Cricetulus griseus: one gene and its partner. The protein of the gene in region 1 binds, or shares a complex with, the protein of each later gene. Links are inferred from orthologs where the notes say so. Each region holds a gene or a part of one and is shown in the gene's direction. Other genes may lie near its edges. The genes, in order: Timp2 and Mmp2.

The links.
Region 2: the proteins of Timp2 (region 1) and Mmp2 are in contact, whole or in part, in a crystal structure (PDB 1GXD), measured with the Homo sapiens proteins. The link is inferred for Cricetulus griseus from reciprocal best matches to the Homo sapiens genes TIMP2 and MMP2. Residues at the interface, in NP_003246.1 of Homo sapiens: Ile162, Pro163, Cys164, Tyr165, Ile166, Pro169, Leu173, Met175, Val178, Thr179, Phe191, Arg196, Asp198, Ser200, Cys201, Ala202, Trp203, Tyr204, Arg205, Ala208, Lys211, Gln212, Glu213, Phe214, Leu215, Asp216, Glu218; in NP_004521.1 of Homo sapiens: Trp574, Lys576, Asn577, Lys579, Tyr581, Phe588, Arg590, Lys595, Asp599, Phe602, Lys604, Ile606, Ala607, Asp608, Ala609, Trp610, Asn611, Ala612, Asp615, Tyr636, Leu638, Leu645, Lys646, Ser647, Val648, Lys649, Phe650, Gly651, Ser652.

The regions. Positions count from the first base shown.
Region 1 is NC_048600.1:130,872,369-130,876,179, reverse strand, and holds part of Timp2 (metalloproteinase inhibitor 2), read left to right. Parts: intron 1-1,824; coding exon 1,825-1,925; intron 1,926-3,811. UniProt on the Homo sapiens protein: Complexes with metalloproteinases (such as collagenases) and irreversibly inactivates them by binding to their catalytic zinc cofactor. Known to act on MMP-1, MMP-2, MMP-3, MMP-7, MMP-8, MMP-9, MMP-10, MMP-13, MMP-14, MMP-15, MMP-16 and MMP-19.
Region 2 is NC_048596.1:168,542,504-168,546,876, forward strand, and holds the start of Mmp2 (72 kDa type IV collagenase), read left to right. Parts: upstream 1-1,334; 5' UTR 1,335-1,350; coding exon 1,351-1,547; intron 1,548-2,243; coding exon 2,244-2,392; intron 2,393-3,305; coding exon 3,306-3,434; intron 3,435-3,621; coding exon 3,622-3,795; intron 3,796-4,373.

The DNA.
Region 1 (3,811 bases):
TGACAGCACTACTGACCAGATCCATAGCCTGCATGATATGCATTCCGACTCCACGCCTGTCACGCTTCTCAGAATACATGTTACTTTAAAGAATGTCTCACAAAGCCATGGCTGGTGGCCTGTGATTATAATCCCAGCACTGGGAAGGAAGACACAGTTGAACGCAGAGGCTTGCTGGCAAGCCAGCCAGTGAGCTCCAGGCCAATGAGACATCCTGTCTCAAAAAATAAGGTGGGGAATTCAGTGACAGGATTCAGTGTGTAAAGGCGCTTGCTTGCCACAGCCTGTTCACCTCAGTTCCATCCCTGGAACCCACTCGGTGGAGAGACTCCCATAAGGCGTCCTCTGACTTTGACATGTTGGCTGTATCCGGCAATGTGCAAACCCTGCCCACCCCCAACAAATAAAAATGGAGAAAAAAAAAAAAAACACCCAAAAACCAAGGCAGGTGGCGCCTGAGAAATGATACATGACCTTCACACGCTTGTCCCATACGACATCTCACACGGAAACTTCTAGAGAGGGATCTCTGAACCTCTTGAATGCTAGGCCGGTGCTTTGCTCTGGGCTGTGCTCCAGGACCCCCCCACCCCTGTGGAGACCCCAAATCTGAATAACCAGGCTCCTTTGCGGTGGATGGCTGCCCATCTTCTTGAGCCTCCAAAGTCTGTTTGAGGATGAGATGCTGGCATGACAGAGTCACCTCTCCACCAGCCCTACCTGCAGGGGCAGGACTATATGCTAGGCCATTTGTTTACTGTTTCTCTAGTCACCAGTAGGTAGGAAGAACCTGACCCATGGCCACAGCCTACCGCTGTACAGAGCCGCCTATGGCCCTAGTCAACAAATGATTCATTTGGGATACATTGGTTTGGGTTTTGTTTGGGGTGGTTTTGTTTGAGACAGGGTCTCACTTTGTAGCCCTTGCTGTCCTGGAATTCACTATGTAGGCCAGGCTGGCCTTGAACTCGCAGAGATCCACCTGCCTCTGCTCCAAGTGCAGGAGTTAAAGGTGTGAGTCATCACACCCAGCTTTTTGGTATTTTGTTTTATTTTGTTTTGTTTTTCCTGGCAGGGTTTCTCTGTGGCTTAGGAGGCTGTCCTGGAACTAGCTCTTGAAGACCAGGCTGGTCTCGAACTCACAGAGATCCACCTGCCTCTGCCTCCCAAGTTCTGGGATCAAAGGCCTGTGCCACCAATGCCTGGCCAGCTTTTTGGTTTTTGATTTTGTCTTTGAGTCAGGTTTGTGGTTGTTGTTTTGTTTTGTTTTTTTTTATTTTTGTTTTTGACAAGAGGTTTCTCTGTGTAGCCCTGACTGCCCTGAAACTCACTCTGTAGAACAGGCTGGCTTCTAACTCAGAGATCTACCTGAGTGTTGGGCTTAAAGGCGTGTCCCCCACCACACATATACACACCACCTGGTAAGGCAGGGTTTTATTAGCCCAGGCTGTCCTTGAAGTTCTGACCCTCCTGACTCCATGTCCTAAGGACTGGGGTTAAAAGTGTGTGTCACTGCGCCCACTTTTACTTGGTGCTAGAGACTGAACACAGGTCTTTGTGCATACTAGTCAAGCACTCGGCCAATTGAATCACATCCCAGCCACAGCAAAGAACTCTTGCTAACCAACCCAGGACAACAAGCTACAGAGTCTCCTCTCCTTCCTGTGCCAACCCAACTCCTCTGACCCCCTCAGGTTACAGTGTTTGGGCAATAGACCCACCTCCCTTTGTACCTCCAGTAGGGAGGGACACCTTCCTCCCCTGGGCAGAGCCTGAATCCTGGTCCTCCGGGACTCTCCTCATCTGTGTCTCTGTATTTTGCAGTGATCAGGGCCAAAGCAGTAAGCGAGAAGGAGGTGGATTCCGGGAACGACATCTACGGCAACCCCATCAAGAGGATCCAATATGAGATCAAGCAGATAAAGGTAGCCCCTGGTTTGGTGGGGGAAGCAGGGATGGGGTCCTGGAACGCCTCCCAGCCACCGTAAGCCAGAAAGCTGAGCTGTCAAGCCACAAAGAAGCCCAGTTCTCCTTAAGCCACAAGAACATGAAAGGCTGGCAGAAATGTGAGGTTTTCAGCTGCCTCAGTCACTGTCCTATGCTTGGCACAGGAACCAAAGCAAGTCTTGTAAAGAAAGCATATTAAACAGGGGCCTGCTTACAGTTTCAGAAGATGAGTCCGTGGTCATCATGGTGGGAGGCAGGCAGACGTGGATGGTTCTGGAGCAGTAGCTGAGAGCTTTGCAACCTGACCCTAAGGCAGCAGGTGGAGTGAGGGACATTGGGCCTGGCATGAGCTTTTGAAACCTCAAAGCCCACCCTCAGTGACAGACCTCCTTCAATAAAGCCATACCTCCTAATCCTTCCCACACAGTTCTACCTACTAGGGGACCAAGCATTTGCATATTTGACCCCATGGGCCCGTTCTCATTCAAACCACCATGTCACCCTAATTCCAGAAACAGACTAGCTTGATTTTACCAGGTGATAAACCTGGGGGTAGCATGTCATAAGAGGAAGAGTCTGGCAGTCAGTTGTACTTGAGGGCAGCTTCCTGACTGTGGTGGGCCATTTACTGAGAAGGTAGCCCATTGAGCGGACAGGGCTGTGGTCGGGGAACTGCAGATGGCCCCAGTCGTGGCTGTGGTGGTGTCTGCTAGTATATTCAGAGTACTTTGTGTGTCAGAGACAAATGGGAAGAACCAGTGTTAGAGAGAGAGACAGACAGAGAGAGACAGAGATACTCAGAGAGAGGCAGACAGAGAGAGAGAGAGAGAGAGAAACAGACAGACAGACAGACAGACAGACACACACACACACACGAAGAGAGAGAGAGAGAGAGAGAGAGAGAGAGAGAGAGAGAGAGAGAGATGTTAAGGGAGAGGCAGGGGATATGGCTCAGTTGGTAGCATGCTTACCGAGCACACATGAAGCCCTGAGTTTGATCCCTGGAATTACAAAACTAGGTAGGGTGGTACATGCCTGCTCTGGTAGTTGACATTTACTAACTTGGTATTCAAAGAAAGACAGCTGGCTCCTCCAGTGTTAGGGACAGCTTTGTCATGCAGTAGTGGTTGTAGACATCCTTATTTACCAAAATTGAAAATAAATATTATCAACAGGCCAGAGGAGCGAGCACTTCCTCATCCCATGTGTCACCTCAGGAACGACTAACTCTCAATACCAAAGTCTCCTTCTGAGGCAGAGAAGCAGGTGGGCTTGCGTAACCTCATCACCTCCTCGTGGCTTAATACCAGGAAGTGACTCTGTTGCCCTGGCAACCTTCCTTCCTACAGCGTTAGAACTGAGCTCCCCAAAGCCGTTTTGTCCTGGAGAGGGACTGCAGCCTGAAGGCTCAGTGGGTAAGAGCACTGACTACTCCTCCAGAATTAGGATCCCAGCACCCATGTCAGGCAGCTCACAACTGCCTGCCGGCCCTGCTTGAGGGGAATCTGGCTTCTGAGGGCACCTCATGGTAGCAGACACACAGACACAAACACACCATGGAAGTAGAAATAAAAATAAATATTTAAAACTCGAAGGAAGGAAAGAAGGAAGGAAGGAAGGAAGGAAGGAAGGAAGGAAGGAAGGAAGGAAGGAAGGAAGAGGCAAACGAAAACCCTCTTCTGGGGTGTCGGGAAGGGTGTGAGTAAAAGGGGAGCGGGGTGAAACCCCCACACACATCTAGGTGTCTTCCTCTGAGGGGCAGCAGGCATACCCCTGAAGAGCAGGCATACCCCTGAAATGAGTCAGATGCTGAGAAATAAATGAAACCCTCCAGTGACTCTGGGGTTATGTTCTGGCTCCAGGG
Region 2 (4,373 bases), on another chromosome or scaffold:
GGGTATTCACGCCTTCTGTAGCCGAAGCCTTTGTTGCCCAGAGGTAGTGCAAGTGGAGAGAAGTTAACAAGCAGGGTGGGGGTGGGGGGTTGCAATCAATCATGGTGGTGCACACTTGTGAAGTCAGTCCTGGGGAAACTGGGACAGGAGGGTCCTCGGTTCAACTTGAGCTTGGACTTGAAAATGAAAAAGACATAAAACAAAAAGAAAGAAAAAAAAGGGGGGGCACTTTGAACTTAAATACTACTCCCTGCAAACCCTCTCAGGGAGTGTATTAACCTACTGGCCTGGTGATCACTGATGACTGATGTAACTTCAGGAGTGGCCATTTCTTTGAAGTCAGAGGGTCAGAACGGCACCCATCCATCTTTGTGATAAGTGGGCAGGTGCTCTCAGATACTTAGACGAGCATTTGGCACCGGGGAAGCACTCAGTAAACATCGGGCATTAGGACTGTTATATTGCCATTATCAGCACTACTGTCATGCCCTCCTTCCCCCGCTTTGTGTACTGCCTCCAAGGATGTGAGAACCAGTCAGCATCACTTCTGGTTCCTTTCACCGCTCCAGCCAGCCCTTCCCACATATTTAATTCTTCGTTTCTTTGTGATTTCCACTCACGTTCCTGCACTGGGTTTTGGATCTTACAGACTAGAAGTGCCTGTCTTGATCATCAGTTTACCCTGGCAATAGAACAAGGATAATTGACTGGGGGCAGGCATCAAACAATGTTTGTTGAGCAGCTGGCTGCTAGTTTAGGGCAGACCCTCTGAAGAATAAGACTTGTCTCTGTTGAGAAACTGTGGGTGAAAATTTGAACACAGGTATGCTACCAAATCCCATGCACAAAATTCTTGGATTTCTTTATAGAAAAAGAAAGAAAGAAAGAAAGAAAGAAAGAAAGAAAGAAAGAAGGAGGAGGGCAATGTATGCCTAGGCCTGTTGGGAGGTTCAACCAGATAGATGCTGGAGTATCAGGGTTCAAGCATGGGCTCTGGAGTACACTGCTTGGTGTCAAATCCAGAGCTGCCATGTGTGAGTGGTTTCATATCAAGCAACTCTTTTAAGCTGTCTTATATATAGTGGGTGGTACATAACATCTGCTACATTCAGAGAAAAAAAGTTGGTAACCACGCCATTTACAGGTGCATGCCATCCAGTGACAGAACTCATTTGGGAGCCTAAGACTCCACTCTGTGTCCTTGGACTCCTTGATTCTGTTCTGTCCCAAGTAGGGGATGTTTGGGGAGTAGTTGGGACTGTGTGCTTTGCCATCCCAATGTGGCTCCTAGCTTTGAGACTGACTACCTGTCTCTTTCAGCAATACTTGAATACTTTCTACGGCTGCCCCATGGAGAGCTGCAATCTTTTCGTGCTGAAGGACACCCTCAAGAAGATGCAGAAATTCTTTGGGCTGCCTCAGACAGGTGACCTTGACCAGAATACCATCGAGACCATGCGGAAGCCACGCTGTGGCAACCCGGATGTGGCCAACTACAACTTCTTTCCCCGAAAGCCCAAGTGGGACAAGAACCAGCTCACATACAGGTGCCAAGGGGGGGGGGCTGGGGATGCAGGGCCAGCAGCCTGAGGGATGTGAGTCTTCTTGGGACTTGCCTTTCCAATTCAGGGGGCCCATAAAGTGTCATTACTGAAATACGAAAATTCAGAGACTCTTCATACAGAGTTCTTGGTGACAAGCCAGGCAGACCTAGACTTGAGTCTCATACTCACTAATCTTGGGGCACTGGTCTTATTCTCGTGCAGTCTGAGTTGGTATCCTTGCTTATGAAAGAGGGCTAAAAAATCTACTTCTCATAGGGGTGATTGGGGAACTAAATTAGATTACATGTAAATCAAGGGCTTCTACAATGTTTGTTACAGAGAAAGGGTCTAGTAAGTGTTGGTGATATTATCACTTGGGTCATTGGAGTAGGTCAAGGAAGTTTGATGAGCAGCTGATAATTGTGCTTTTAATCTTGTGTTGTTATGATTGGTTGCTAATTAGGCTAAGAGCTCTATCCTGTGTAGCTGGTGTTTATCAAGGGTGAGATCTCTGCCTTTTGTCTGCTATTTGCTGTTTAGGTCTCTGGTGCCCTTGTCCCAGACAGAAGTGAGAGATGAGAAAGTCTGGGATTCTGGAAACATCAGGGCACTTAGGCACACACTCATGCACACACACTGGGCACGTAGACATTTGCACGGTTGCATATGCACACTCACATGCATTTCTCCCCTCTCTAGGATCATTGGTTACACACCTGACCTGGACCCCGAGACAGTGGATGATGCCTTTGCTCGGGCCTTACAAGTATGGAGTGATGTGACTCCACTACGCTTTTCTCGAATCCATGACGGGGAAGCTGACATCATGATCAACTTTGGTCGCTGGGGTAGGCAGAAGGGGGGCTGGAAAGTGGGTCAACATAGAGACAGCAGGGCCATGTAGACTTTTGAAACATTTGGGGATCCTGAGGGCAGCTTACCAAGAAGGTGTAGACACTTGATGTGGATTAGATGGAAATAGCAGAACACTGCCCAGACCCTGGAGAGCCACGGCTGTGAGAGCAGAGAATGCACTGCAGTGTACACAGTGAAAATCTACTGCACCCTCTAAATGACAGCCCCTAAGTGGCTTATTGGACTTAAAGTAATATGAAAGACCTTTTTAATTAAAATTCAGTTGTCACAAGAGCAACATAGGAGGAAGTGGAATAGAATCTGGGGTCAAACCACCATCTTTAAGCTGTTGGTATGAACTGGTTGCAGTGTAAATATGAAGGCTGGTGGTATAGATACCAGGTGGTAAAGCAATGAAGGCAGATGGAGGGGAAGAACAGTGTAGACATGGGAGTAAGTAAGGTGAGCATGCTGTCACAGTGGGCCTGAGGGCCAGCTCTCTGGGTAGTGATGACAATCTGCCAGGAGAGTAGGGCATGGTGAGGAAGACAGTGTTGATGGGAGGTCATGGGTGTCAGGAAAGCACGTGGTTAGCATGCCTTAGTGGCACTGGAGGCGTGTGGATGGGCACAGTGATTTTGAGATCAATGAAGACAGCAGAGGTCAGTGGTGCAGGTGAAGAGGACCATGTGGACTTGAGAGTAGTTTGGGCCACAGAATGGTAGCAACCAAGCCAGAGCTTTTTCATTAACTCCCTGCAATGCCTATCCTAGATAACCACAATGGGAAAAGGGAAGGGGACAGGTGCTTGGAGGACAGAGGACACAGCTTAGGCTGTGACTAGACTTAAGGACCAAGTGGTGGGAGTGAGGAATGCTAAGAGCTAAGAATCAATGTGGGTTTCAGAGCATGGAGATGGATACCCATTTGATGGCAAGGATGGACTCCTGGCACATGCCTTCGCCCCGGGTACTGGTGTTGGGGGAGACTCTCACTTTGATGACGATGAGCTGTGGACCCTGGGGGAAGGGCAAGGTAAGATAGCCTCTACTGGCTTGCTTCTCTGTCCCCTAGCAACCAAAACCAACCTTAAGCCTTTCTTCTGTTCTGATGGGATCGGGGCATTGAGAGGGGTAGGGAAGTCAGCTTCCAGGGTGAGCCCACAGCCTAGTGTCTGATGAAGGCCCTGGAGAGGTGTGTTCCATCTCTGTATGCCCTGCAGTGGTCCGGGTAAAGTATGGAAATGCTGATGGCGAGTACTGCAAGTTCCCCTTCCTGTTTAATGGCCGGGAATACAACAGCTGCACTGATGCCGGCCGCAGCGATGGCTTCCTCTGGTGTTCCACCACCTACAACTTCGAGAAGGATGGCAAGTACGGCTTCTGCCCCCATGAAGGTGAGCAGCTACCCTGGACCCAACCCTTATCCTACCCAGACCCCCAGCCTACCTAGGTTCCTGCTATGCTTTCCCCCTCCACATTCCACAGGCCAGTCAACCATCATCCCCTCACCCATGTCCATTATCTTGATTTTAGCCATCATTGTGTCCCTCTTCTACTGTTATAGCTATATATTGATTAATGTCAGGTACACGTTCCAAAAATGTATATTTTGTAGAAGTTCATCATCACTGTGTGAACACAGACTCCTTACACAAGTTGAGAAGGTTACAAAGTAACCAGCCAATCTGGCCTTATGGGACCACTGTCACATGGGACCATCATGGTCTGTTGTGACTTCAATGTTATTTTTGTGATGTATGACCATATGTACTTACTTTATATCTACATAAGTCACTTCAGGTTTTTGAAAGTCTCACTGTTAGCAGTATTATTTGTGAAATTGTGGATTTGGTATATTATTTTTTTTCTAACACACATGAGAATAACCTTAGATTGTTTCTAGGGCCACTATGCACTCCAAACAAGACCCAGGGCTCAAGAACAGGAGGACAGGAAAACAGGAGGATAAGAG